Linked DNA regions of Caenorhabditis elegans. The protein of the gene in region 1 interacts with the protein of each later gene in a pairwise test. Each region holds a gene or a part of one and is shown on either strand. Other genes may lie near its edges. The genes, in order: gmn-1 and cdt-1.

Region 1 (4,106 bases):
GAAAAGTGTCACCTGAGGGGACAGTCGAGGCCCTGTTTGGCGGATCAAGTTCTCCAAAACTATTCGATATTTGGGATGAAGATTTGACCATTTTTCTTCCTTTGGATCAAAATATTTGTCATCTAGATATCGATTGACAGCAGCGATATGCCGAGAAGTGAATCGAAGTTTTTTGCGGGGATTTTCTGGAATTTTGGGGATTTTTTTGCGCAAAAATTACTGTACCAGGTCTCGCCACGACAAATTTTTGTTTTATGGAAAAGGTATGCGCCTTTAAAGGTTACTGTAATTTAATACGGGGTTCAGGCCTTCCTCATTGAATTTTTCGCGTGGAAAAGTGTCGTGTACTCCTCACGGACTATAATCGAGCCGCGATGCGACACGCAACGCGCCGTAAATCTACCCCAGATATGGCCTGGCCTAGTTCGGCAAAAAACTCTTCCATTTCAATTTATGGAGGGAAGCCAGAAATCCGATTTTTTTTAAAGTTTGTTTAAATAAAAAATTTTTAATTTAAATTTACTTGAAATTGAAAAAAATCGAAAATCCCGCAGCAACGAAAGTTTAAAACTACAGTACTCCTTAAAGGCGCACACCTTGTTCAATTTAACTAAAAATTGTCGTGTCGAGACCGGGCACCGTAGTTTTGGCGCAAAAATCACGAAATTGTATTACTTTCAATCTTTTTCGACAAATTTTGTGTAAAAAAGAGAAAATTTTTGGAAAATCGAGATATTTTTCAAATTTCTTAAGAAAAAAAAATTACAAACCAGGCATCACTTCGAGTAGGCCGTCAAATTGGTGTTGCAACACCATTTTGAACAATCCTGTTCCGCTCATAGAATATTAGTTCTGTAAATCTTAAAATTAACTACATTTGTGAATGAAAAATACGATTTTTTTAACGATTTTGGGGTTGGTTGGGGGAGGAAGTTGGCATTAAAATGGAAAAAAAGTGAATTTTATATACTATTCTAGTAAAATAAAGTTATGGTGTATCGATCGATTTTTTAAAGAGCAATTTAAAATACAAAATATACGATATATTGTAAAAATGTTGTAATTAATCATTTATTGGTCAGATTTCATTCAGAAACTAACAATAATTTCTTATATTATTCGAAAATCTCTATAATATTGCATGTAATTGCATTTCAACGGAGCCGTGACGTCACGCGGCGCACTCGCGCTCCACCGCACTTCACCAATGGCGGGTGTTTCGAATCTAACACCTGTCTCTCAACACCATTTTCACCAATTTCTAGCCAGTTTTTATCGATTTTTCTCGAGATGAGTGATTTTGTAGTGCTCGGGGAGCCAACAACCAACAATTTATCCCCAGAAGTCGGATGTCAGACTGAAGAGGTAAGTTTTTTTCAAAAAAAAAAAAAAAATTGAAAAATATTTATTTTAGATTGCTGTAGAAAATATGACAACACAGACAGCAGAGGAATCGATTACAAAATATCGAAAAAACACGGAAAATCCAGAAATGTCGTATTGGGAGTCAATTGTTGCAAATCGACAGAATGAAGTGGATCGAATTAAAGCGTTGAATGAGAAGGTTTTATTTTTTTCCAACGCGATATATTAATATACAGTTATCGATTGATTTTGCAGATGGAAGTGGAGAAAAGTCGAAAATCGGAGATGCTCGACGCGAAACAGACTGAATACACGCGACTCTTCGATTTGGGAAACGAAAAATTGAAAAAATCAAGTGAAAACGGCGATTCCGAAGAAGAACCCGACACGAGCACCTGTAAATAATTCGGATTAATCCGGATTCTTCTAATTTTGCTATAAAAATACTTATTTTTCTGTATAAAATGCATTTTTGCTCCTTGTCGATGTCTTTTTTTCATTTAATTTCTCTGTTTTTATCATCAGAGCTGGTTATTTCTTCTTTTTTTTGTATTTTTTCATTTAATTTCTCCAAATTGCACCGAAAAATCGATTTTTGGGGTACGGTAAATTTAAAGGCGCAGGGTTCGAAATTTAATTTCTCGTGCTTCGTGGCGAGACCCTACGGGCCTAGGGGCCCGCGTAAATCTATTTTTTTGAATTTTGAACTCAAATTTTCACCATTTTTCGCCGCAATTTCAATTTTTTCTGCTTATTTTTGTGTAATTTTCAACAAAAAAAATTTCAGATGAGCAGAATCGGCCTTCAACAGCTCAACAACTCGGCACGCAACAGTCCATTTGGCTCCGAGAAGGCCACCGGCACCAAGCAAATTCCAGAACCGCTGAAGCTCACCGCCCAACTCAAGAAATATCAGCCAATCACACCGTCCCCGCTGGCTTCTGCCACCACAATCACACCGGTTTTATCTCCATTCGACGTGTTCTGTGATGATGATCAAGAGGCAAAAAACGTGGAGACGCAGATGTTTGAGGTATGAAATGATGATTAAAAAGATTTATCGGCATAAATATATCTACAATGCTTTGTATATTATCGCTAATTCATCAGAACACGAGAAAGCAGCTGGTATAATAGATATTTATTAAAACTTTGAAATTTTATTTTAAAAAAATCAAAAAAATTGCAGTACGGCACAGTGTCCACGCAAACGATCATCAACGTCCCACACGTTCAACCAAAAATCACAGAAGCCGATCTAACATCTGAAAAACCAACTGTAAACTATCTTCGCGTGATGGCTGACCGTCTGCAAATGGATCTGGACGATGAAATGGACAGAAATCAGCGTCTCGTCGCCGAACTCGGAGATCTCGACGAAAAAATGCGAAAAATCGACGATGACACGGAGATTCTTCTCGAAGTGCTCGCCGACATTGACGAGGAGCAACAGACGGATGAGGAGATTGGCACCGCGCAACTTTAAATTACTATCCACGCTCTCCTCAAAGCCGAATAATTATTAGAGCGCGCTTGCTACGATTCGCGTTTCTGTGCCCGCGGTGTTTTGCCTTTTCATTGAAAATAGCAGATTTATCGAATTTTTAGCTTAAAATTTTTTTTCGGCTTTTTACGAACCAACCTTTTGTTAAACAGTGAAAATCGAATTTAAAATGACTAAAATGAACTTTTTTCGTTCACTGGCTGTAAAATGGTTTGAATTTGACGACATCAACGGGATTTTTCTTATTTTCTAAATATTTTTCAATTAAAAATCGGTTTTAATGCACTTGTAACCTAACGTTAGAGTCAAAAATAGTTTAAAACCGAATTCTAATCGAAAAATATTCAGAAAATACGAAAAATCCCGCTGATGTCTTCAAATTCAAACCATTTCACAACCAGTGGACGAAAAAAGTTCATTTTAGTCATTTTAAATTTGATTTTCACCGTTTAACAAAAGGTTGGTTCGTAAAAAGCCGAAAAAAAATTTTAAGCTAAAAATTCGATAAATCTGCTATTTTCAGTGGAAAAGCAAAACTCAGCCGACGCTGAAACGCGAAGCGTAGCAAGCGCGCTCGAATAATTATTCGGCTTCGAGGGGAGCGTGCTACCTCGTGTTTATATATATCTTGTGTATTTACTTCATTCCTTTTACGAGTTTTACCAAATTTCAACGCAATTCAATTTTAAAATGTTTTTTTATCAAATGAATTTCAAATTCTATGCGACCCGAAGTTTAAAATAATTTAAATACCAGCAACAAAACCACAAAAACAAATAATTATGCCCTAAACATTGAAGAACCGGATTTGTGAATAAGTGTCAAGAAAACAATAGAAGAGACGGCGGATATTAGGAAAATCACGTCGAACCAGCGATGGTAGAAGTTGAATTTCAAATCGCCGAGAATTCTCGTCAGAATCGTTCGATACTCCTCGGGCACGTTCATACGCATTAATAGGACGCTCGAAACGAAGTACATTCCCTGAAAAATTCAATTTTTTATTGAAAAATCGAAAATTTAATTGAAAAATTGGTGAAAAAACTGTTAAAATGCTCTTGAATGACTCCAAATTTTCCCCTGATTCCGAATATCTATGTGAAAAAATTCGAACAAATTTCCCTGATTTTATATTTCACCTTGAAATCGCGCCCGAATCATTTTTTTCAAATGCGCGCTCACAGATATTCTCATTGGAGCGCGCTTGCTTCGTGACGATTTACGGGAGCTTTCCGTT
Region 2 (7,520 bases), on another chromosome or scaffold:
GATGGAACATAAATTTTTTCTACATTTCTATATCAATTTTAGATCAAAAAGTTGGATTATAGCATATTAAAAATGGCAGAGCCCTGTTTTGATTATCTTTAAAAAATTTAATTTGGAAACTCATAAATTTCTTGCAAATTGGCTCGTAAAACCTGCAAAAATCAATATTTTCAAGATATTCAAAATGAAATAATTTCTGAGACTTCACTTTTTTGCAATTTCTTCAAATTTCCCGCATTTCTATTCCAATTCCAGATGAGACCCATACCCGCTCTGGAAAACCATGAACGTTGGCATCGAATTGACACCGTTCTCTGAGCTGGTTTTCTCGCAGATCTCCACATCAACTTTCAGAAAAACTGCTCCAAGATATTGATTGGACAGAGCTTCAAATGTTGGAGCAATCATTTTGCACGGTCCGCACCAGACTGCAGTGAAATCGACAATCACTGACTTGAGACCAGCGAGGGAAAGCTGATTTCTGAAGTCTTCGTCGTCTTTCACGTTGATAACTGGCATGGTGTAGGGGAGATGGGCTGAAAATTAATTTAATATTTAGATTACTGCACTTATTTTTTTAAGGTGGTGTAGTCGAATTTTTTTAAAATTGCTTCATTAGACTCAAAATTGTCTCAAAACACCGAATTTCATGATGAAACTGCTTGAAAACTTCTCAAAAAAAGTTATGACTGCTCAAAAAATGGCCTAAAATTAGTTAAAATTTGAAATTAGACCGACTTTTCAAGCGGCTAAAAACTACCTTTTTTGAAATCACCGTCAAATTTTGAGTATATATAAAATGTAATTATCTTGCGTTTTCAACTCGATTTAGGTATTTTAAAGTCGATGGACGGCGAGATTTGGTTTAAAAAATTTAAAAATCTCGCCGTCCATCGACTTCAAAATATCTGAATCAAATTGAAAATGCAAGATAATATAATTGTATACTCAAAATTAGACGGTAATTTCAAAAAAGTTAGTTTCCAGCCGCTTGACAAGTCGGTCAAATTTCAAATTTTAACTAATTTTAGGCCATTTTTTGAGCAGTCATAACTTTTTTTGAGAAGTTTTCAAGCAGTTTCATCATGAAATTCGGTGTTTTGAGACAATTTTGAGTCTAATGAAGCAATTTTAAAAAAATTCGACTACGCCACCTTTAAAATACGGATTTTTAATCGAAAAATGCAAAATAATCTCAAAAAATGGGAAAAATCCCCAAAATCTAAAGAAAAATTAAAGAAAAAAATTGGGTTTTGAAAAAAGTTGTTATTTTGTAGTTGAATTTGTTGAATTTTTCCCGCTGAAATTCCAATTTTTAAGCTTTCGCATCATTTTTTTTGGGATTTCTGGCAAAAGCTATTGTAAATACTCCCGGAACAATGCACGAATATATTTTAGCTATTTAATACGCAGAAATTGTGAAATTTCGTTATTTTTTGGGCGATTTCTGGGGAAATTTTGACCGAAAAATTGTAATTTCTGGGATCACCGCTTCCAAAATTGTTCAGTTTATAGTTCTAGGAGCAAAAGATATCTCATTCAGAAGAAAAAACGAAAAAAAAATTTCAAAAAATATAGGAATCACGCCAATTTAAATAATTATTCATTAAAAAAAAGATTTTTTGAAGGTTTCCACAGTAAAATGCATTCATTCTCAAACTGATTTTTGGGTAATTTTGGGCATTTTACACGCTAAAATAGGTGAAAAGCACTTTTAAACGCTCTGAACACAATTTTAATATGCAAAAAATAGTATAAATTCCGGAAAATTAAGAAAATCGGCATGAAACGTGGATTTGTCAGCATTCAAAATGAATGCCGGTGCGGCGAGGGAGTGCACGAAGCGTGGAGACGCAGCGGACAACAAACGCGCTCCAATGGACAAAAAGTGCGGGAAACCGGGACTGTTCAAAGTGTACGCTTTGTCTGTCGTCTCTCCCATTTATTTTTTGGTTTTCGCGAATAATTTCGCTGAAATTATTATTTATTCCTGATAAAAATGAGTTCCCGGGTGACTAGATCCAGGTCCCAGACTCCGCAGACTGCTGTAACCGACTTTTTCAAGGTAAATTGGAGTTTGAAGTTATGAATTGCAATTATTTAATGTTTTTTTTTCTTTTTCAGACCACCAGAAAACCGAGAGCAAGAGGAGAAAAGAAGATTATCGATGAAAGCATCACAAAGACCACTACAATTAAAGAAGTACAAATTCCTGCTGCTCCAATCGTCGAGAATAAATCCTCCCGAACTCGCGCTCGGACTCCATCCCGTCAAGCGGAATTATCGAGTTCCGGAACTCCGCCAAAAAAAGCTAGAGAAGCTGAAGCAGAAGCCCCTGAGCTTCCCAAAATCCATGAAGATATTATTCTGGAAAATCCGGCTCCTCAGAAGTCAGCGATCGATAAGCTAATGGAAGCATCCGGCCCAGCGAAAAAGAAGGCTGGAATTCGAACTGTTGCAGATTTACAAGCAAGAATAGCTGCAAAAGGAGCAGCTAAAGCGATTCATGAGCAAAATTTGAAGAACAAAACGAAGCAGGTCGATGATCACGTGGAATTGCTGAAATCTCCGAAGAAACCAGTTATTGTTGAGCATCACAAATCACCTCAGAAATCCAAGGCCGCTCGTAATCTGTTCTCACCGAAGAAGCCAGTTCCAGACTATATTATTCCCGGCTTTAATGTCCTGAAATCGGCCGAAAAAGTTCGCGGAGAGCAGGATGATGCTCACGAAGAAGAGGGAAAACGAATGACTGCAGAGTTTCTGAAGAGCTCACGGCTTATTGATGAAGTTAAGGAGAGTGCACGTCAACGGATTGAACTTCCAACTGCGTATGAACATCTCGCTGATACTTTCAAACGAATCGATCAGATCACTGCGATCTTTATCGGTCAGAATCGAAGCTGTGTGGTTCCTGAGTTGATCAAGAATGTTAAGAATACGTCTGGAAAGGATTTTTCCAATGAACATTTGTCACAAATTCTTCATGTATATCCTCAATCATATCATATTGAGATGCGTGAACAGCGAAAAGCATTCGGCCAGGGCGGGAAGTATGAACTTGAGGTTCGACCGAATCTCGTGGAAGGTTCGTAGCTTTCGGTTGGCAATTTGCAATAAAAACATTTAAAAAATCAGCTATTTCTGACGTATTCCATTAAAATTTAGTGTCAGAAAATAGAAAAAATATTATATTAATCGTAAAATAGCATTCTTTTAAGTTTAAAAAGACTTATCGATTTTTCTTCTCTGTTTGATCACCTCCACACATTTTTGAACTCGAAAATATTTAACGATTAATAAAATATTTCTCTATTTTTTAACAGACCCTATTCATGCTCCTGATACTGATTTTTGATGTGAAAATTTTTCAAAAAATTCAAAAAAAAAGCCCTGGTTTTATATTAATTTTTGGAAATTCTAAAAATACTAGCTTTGCTCAAAAAAAAACTGAAAAAAAACACAATTTTCTCTTCAAAAAGTAAGAAAAAACACAGCTTTTTACCAGATGTTCGAAAAAAAAACTTTTTTGTTTAAAAAATCCAAAAAAAAAACAATTTTTTAGTAAAAAAATTCGAAAAAACTCAATTTTAAGAAAAAAATCCGGGAAAAAAACACCGTTTTTTAGTCATAAAATCGGAAAAAAGATAATTCTTTATTCAAAAAATCCGAAAGAGCTCAATTTTTTAGTCATAAAATCCGATAGAACAGCGTTTTTTGTAAAAAAAACCGAAAATACCGAATTTTTATTCAAAAAATCCGAAAAAAAAACACAATATTTCAGTCAAATAATCCGAAACAACGCTATTTATAAATTGGAAAAAACACCATTTTTTGTTCAAAAAATTAGAAAAAAACAATTATTTTTAATTTAAAAAATCTGGAAAAAACACAATTTTAAGTCGAAAAATCGAAAAAAAAAGACACATTTCTTTAGTCAAAAAAATACGAAAAAACACCTTTCTTGTTCAAAAATCCGAAAAAAACGCAATTTTTTAGTCATAAATGCGAAAAATACGCAATATTTTAGTTTAAAATATCTGAGAAAAACACAATCTTTGTGGCCAAACATTGAAAAAAACACCTTTTTTTGTTCAAAAAATCCCAGAAAAACGCAATTTTTTAGTTATAAAATTCGAAAAAACCCCAATTTTTAGTCAAAAAAAAGTTTCCTGCTTACAAAAAACCTTTTTTTTTGCAGATCTACGAGGCTACATTTACGAAAAATCCCCCACCGACGGCGACACCGAAGATCTTCCACTAGTCTGCCCATCAAAGCTGCTCTCCCCAAAGAAAAGCCCCAGAAAACAAGTTCAACCGGCTCTCCGAAAGCCAGAAGTCGACGGGAGGATTCGCCTGGACGCTGCTCGTCAAAGAGACCGAGCTCATGTTTTCCGTTATAAGTTGGCCTCGATTGTCACGAAATGTCATACGGAATTTTTGGAATCTCAAGGATTATGTGCTTCTTCGAATATTAAGAGAATGCATCCATTATTCCGACTTGACAAGCATTGTCCATCACTGCCGCAGGTGAAACTTCCAGAACCTCCTCTACAGAAATCATCGATTCATATTGGAATGAAAGAAGCTTTAGATAAATATATGGATCAAGTATCTCTACCATCATTTGTTCAAAAAGCTTATCAAGACTTAAAATCTCCACTGAAATCAACTACAGGAGCATCTGGAACAGTTCCAATCTCGCCGAAAAAGTTCTCCGAGATGCAAAAAGAGCAGAAGAGCCAGGGAGCAATGTCACTTTTAGAGCGTATTCGTGCGAAGGAAGCAATCAAAAAGGCGGCTGAAGCTTGTATTGATAAGGATCTTGAGAGAAGAAAGCAACGTCTAACACTGCTCCGTGACCGATATGTTCGAATTGTGTGCAATCATTATACGGCGAAACGGGCTCAGACGATGGAAATTGATGTGATTTGCAAATTTGTGCAGTTCAGCTCGTCCAACTCGTCTTCGATTCCTGATATTATGGATCATTTGAGATTGTTGTGTGAGGTCGCACCGATGTACATCTCTGAAGCTAGTTTAATGAACAAAAAGTTCGTTTTTTCTCGATTTTGAGCCATTTTTGCGAATTCTTTTGCATCGAAATCGAAAGAAAAAACTTGAAAATTGGATGATTTCGGCGAACTTTAAAAAATTGTTTTCAAAAAATGTTGAAAATTCGCAAATTTTTTGAAATAAAATGTCTGAAAAAATGTTTAAAATTCATTGAAAAATCGGAAATTCTCTTAAAAATGCTGAAAACTCTAGAAAGCAGCAAATTAGTAAAAAAAAAATATCAGAACATTTGCAAAAATGGGAATTTTCAGAAAATTCAACTTTTTTTTTGAAAATTAAAAAAAAATCTCGATTTCGGGTCATTTTTGCAAATTCTTTTGCATCGAAATTGAAAGAAAAATCAATCTTGAAAATTTCGCAAGTTTTAAAATATAATTTTCCATAAATTCGCGGTGGTTTTTCAGAAATTTTTGAAAAATATCAAAGAATTTTTAAAAAGTTATGAAAAAAATCGGAAAATTTGATTTTAAAAATTTCTTTGTCTCGATTTACGCAGACGGTGTACTCCACGAGGAGAAGAGTAGTTTTTGGATATGGTGCTCGATTTTGTATGATTTCTGCAAATTTTTTTTCTTTTAAAAATTCGTCTGAAAATTTTTGAATTTTTTTAAAAATTCATTGAAAAATCGGAAATTCCTGAAAATTAGCAAAAATGTTTGGAGATTTTTAAAAAATTCGAAAAAATTGTTTGTAAAAAATCCTGAAAATTCCCAAAAAAAAAATTATGACAATTTTCTGCGAGAGTTTAAAATATTACAGATTTTTTTAAATTTTGAAAAATATCTAATATTCTCGAAAAATTCGCCTTGGAAAATTTCGAAAAATTCATTTTAAAAATAGGAAATTCAAAATTACTACTTTAGCATTAAAAAAATCATAAAAATTCTCCAAATTTTTTAGAAGTTTCCAAAAAAAAAATCGCAAAAATTAAATTTGTGGTTTTCCAACAATAAATGGACCAAAATCAAAAATTTCCACCAAAAAAAACATAACTTCTCCTCGAGGAGTACACGAGCTCCGTAAATCGACACAGACATTTGTGAAAAAAATTACTTGAAAATCGTAAAATTTCAACAAAAAAAATTCTAATTTTTTTCCAGATACTTCCGATTCACCGACAACAACATTGAAGCAATCAACGAGTTGCTCGATGAAGAGCTCCAAATTACTCAGAAAAAGATTGATGAGCAACGAAACACCCAAATTGCACAAATGAGCCACCACCACACACCACGGCCATCCAAAGCAGCAAGATCTCTCAAATTTCATTAAAAACTAATTTCTAAGCCATTTGTAACTAATTTTCTCACTTTTCTCTCATAACATTCCTGCAATTTTTAATTTTTTTCCAAAGAATTTCCAGAAATTTCAAAGATTTTTGAGCATTTTTCGATTTTTTCACGAATTTTCCGGAAAAAAATCGGAAATTTTTCAATACAATTCTCCAAAAAATTCCCGAAAAATCACAAAATTTCCACTATAACTTCTCGAAAATCTTTGTAATTCCTGAACATTTTCAAAGAATTTCTAAAAATTCTCAATTTTCCAGAATTTCTTTGAAAATTCCTGAAAAAATCGGAACTTTTCCAAAAAATCCGTCACTTGTAACTATTTTTCTTCTCGTTTTTTCTCTCATGCTCTGTACCATTTTCCAATTTTTTTTCACTTTTTTCCAAGTTATCACTCTTGCAATTTCAAATTTAAAATTTCAAATAAATCAAAACGTTATTTAGAAAATTAAAATGGAATTAAAATTTTTATTCCAAGCTGTTATTCATTTTCAGCGTAAAAATTATTTTCCGCTTGGCGCATTTTCGGTGCATTGCTGGCGCATTTCGCGATCCGTTTTTCAACCGTTTATGTATTTTTCATCATTCTTCAATGAAAAACTAAATTTTTAAAACAAAATTCAATTTTTCTATAATTTTTCAATTCAGAAAATGCTCAGTAATCGCCTCGTTGGCTTTCTTTGCTCCCGGTCATTCACAAAATGCACAAGCCTGCCGAGCCGATTCACACGTGACGGATTACGGGATCGATTACGACAGCAGGAGCTCAAAGAGCTCACGAAAAATCATCAGATTAAGCAGGCGTTTAGTCCAGACGCTAGAACTGTCAGGCCGATGTCGGATTTGTGGAAAGTACGGGATTTTTTATTTTTTAGTTGAAAATTAGTAAAAAAATCAGTTTTTTCGGCGAAAATTGAAGTAGAAAAGGTTTTTTTTTTGTGTAAAAAATATCAAAAATTCATTGAAAATTGAAAGAAAAAGCGAAAATTTTCTAAAAAAAAAATTCAAGAAATCCGCATATTTTCTCTTGAAAAATATCAAAAATTCGCTTTAAAAAATGCCAAAAATCGGAAAAAATGCTGAGAAATGAATTTTGCGCCTAAATTAGTTTAGAAAGTTTATTTTTTCGGCGAAAATCTCCTCAAAAAGTCAAAA

What was found.
Region 2: the proteins of gmn-1 (region 1) and cdt-1 interact in a two-hybrid assay, tested with the Caenorhabditis elegans proteins (one study listed by BioGRID).

Annotation. Positions count from the first base shown.
Region 1 is NC_003281.10:12,223,378-12,227,483, reverse strand, and holds gmn-1 (Geminin homolog), read left to right. Parts: upstream 1-2,152; coding exon 2,153-2,398; intron 2,399-2,554; coding exon 2,555-2,851; 3' UTR 2,852-3,596; downstream 3,597-4,106. Other genes in the region: Y75B8A.19 (RING-type E3 ubiquitin transferase), read right to left, coding at 1-185, 771-816; Y75B8A.18 (Clathrin light chain), read left to right, coding at 1,291-1,365, 1,415-1,564, 1,621-1,770; gphr-1 (Golgi pH regulator), read right to left, coding at 3,650-3,853. UniProt on the Caenorhabditis elegans protein: Inhibits DNA replication by binding to the DNA replication licensing factor cdt-1. Its interaction with cdt-1 prevents the cdt-1 loading of the mini-chromosome maintenance (MCM) complex onto DNA and therefore DNA replication licencing.
Region 2 is NC_003279.8:3,222,447-3,229,966, reverse strand, and holds cdt-1 (CDT1 Geminin-binding domain-containing protein), read left to right. Parts: upstream 1-1,862; 5' UTR 1,863-1,999; coding exon 2,000-2,065; intron 2,066-2,124; coding exon 2,125-3,088; intron 3,089-4,201; coding exon 4,202-5,054; intron 5,055-6,176; coding exon 6,177-6,348; 3' UTR 6,349-6,807; downstream 6,808-7,520. Other genes in the region: txl-1 (Thioredoxin-like protein), read right to left, coding at 269-519; rom-5 (rhomboid protease), read left to right, coding at 7,017-7,217.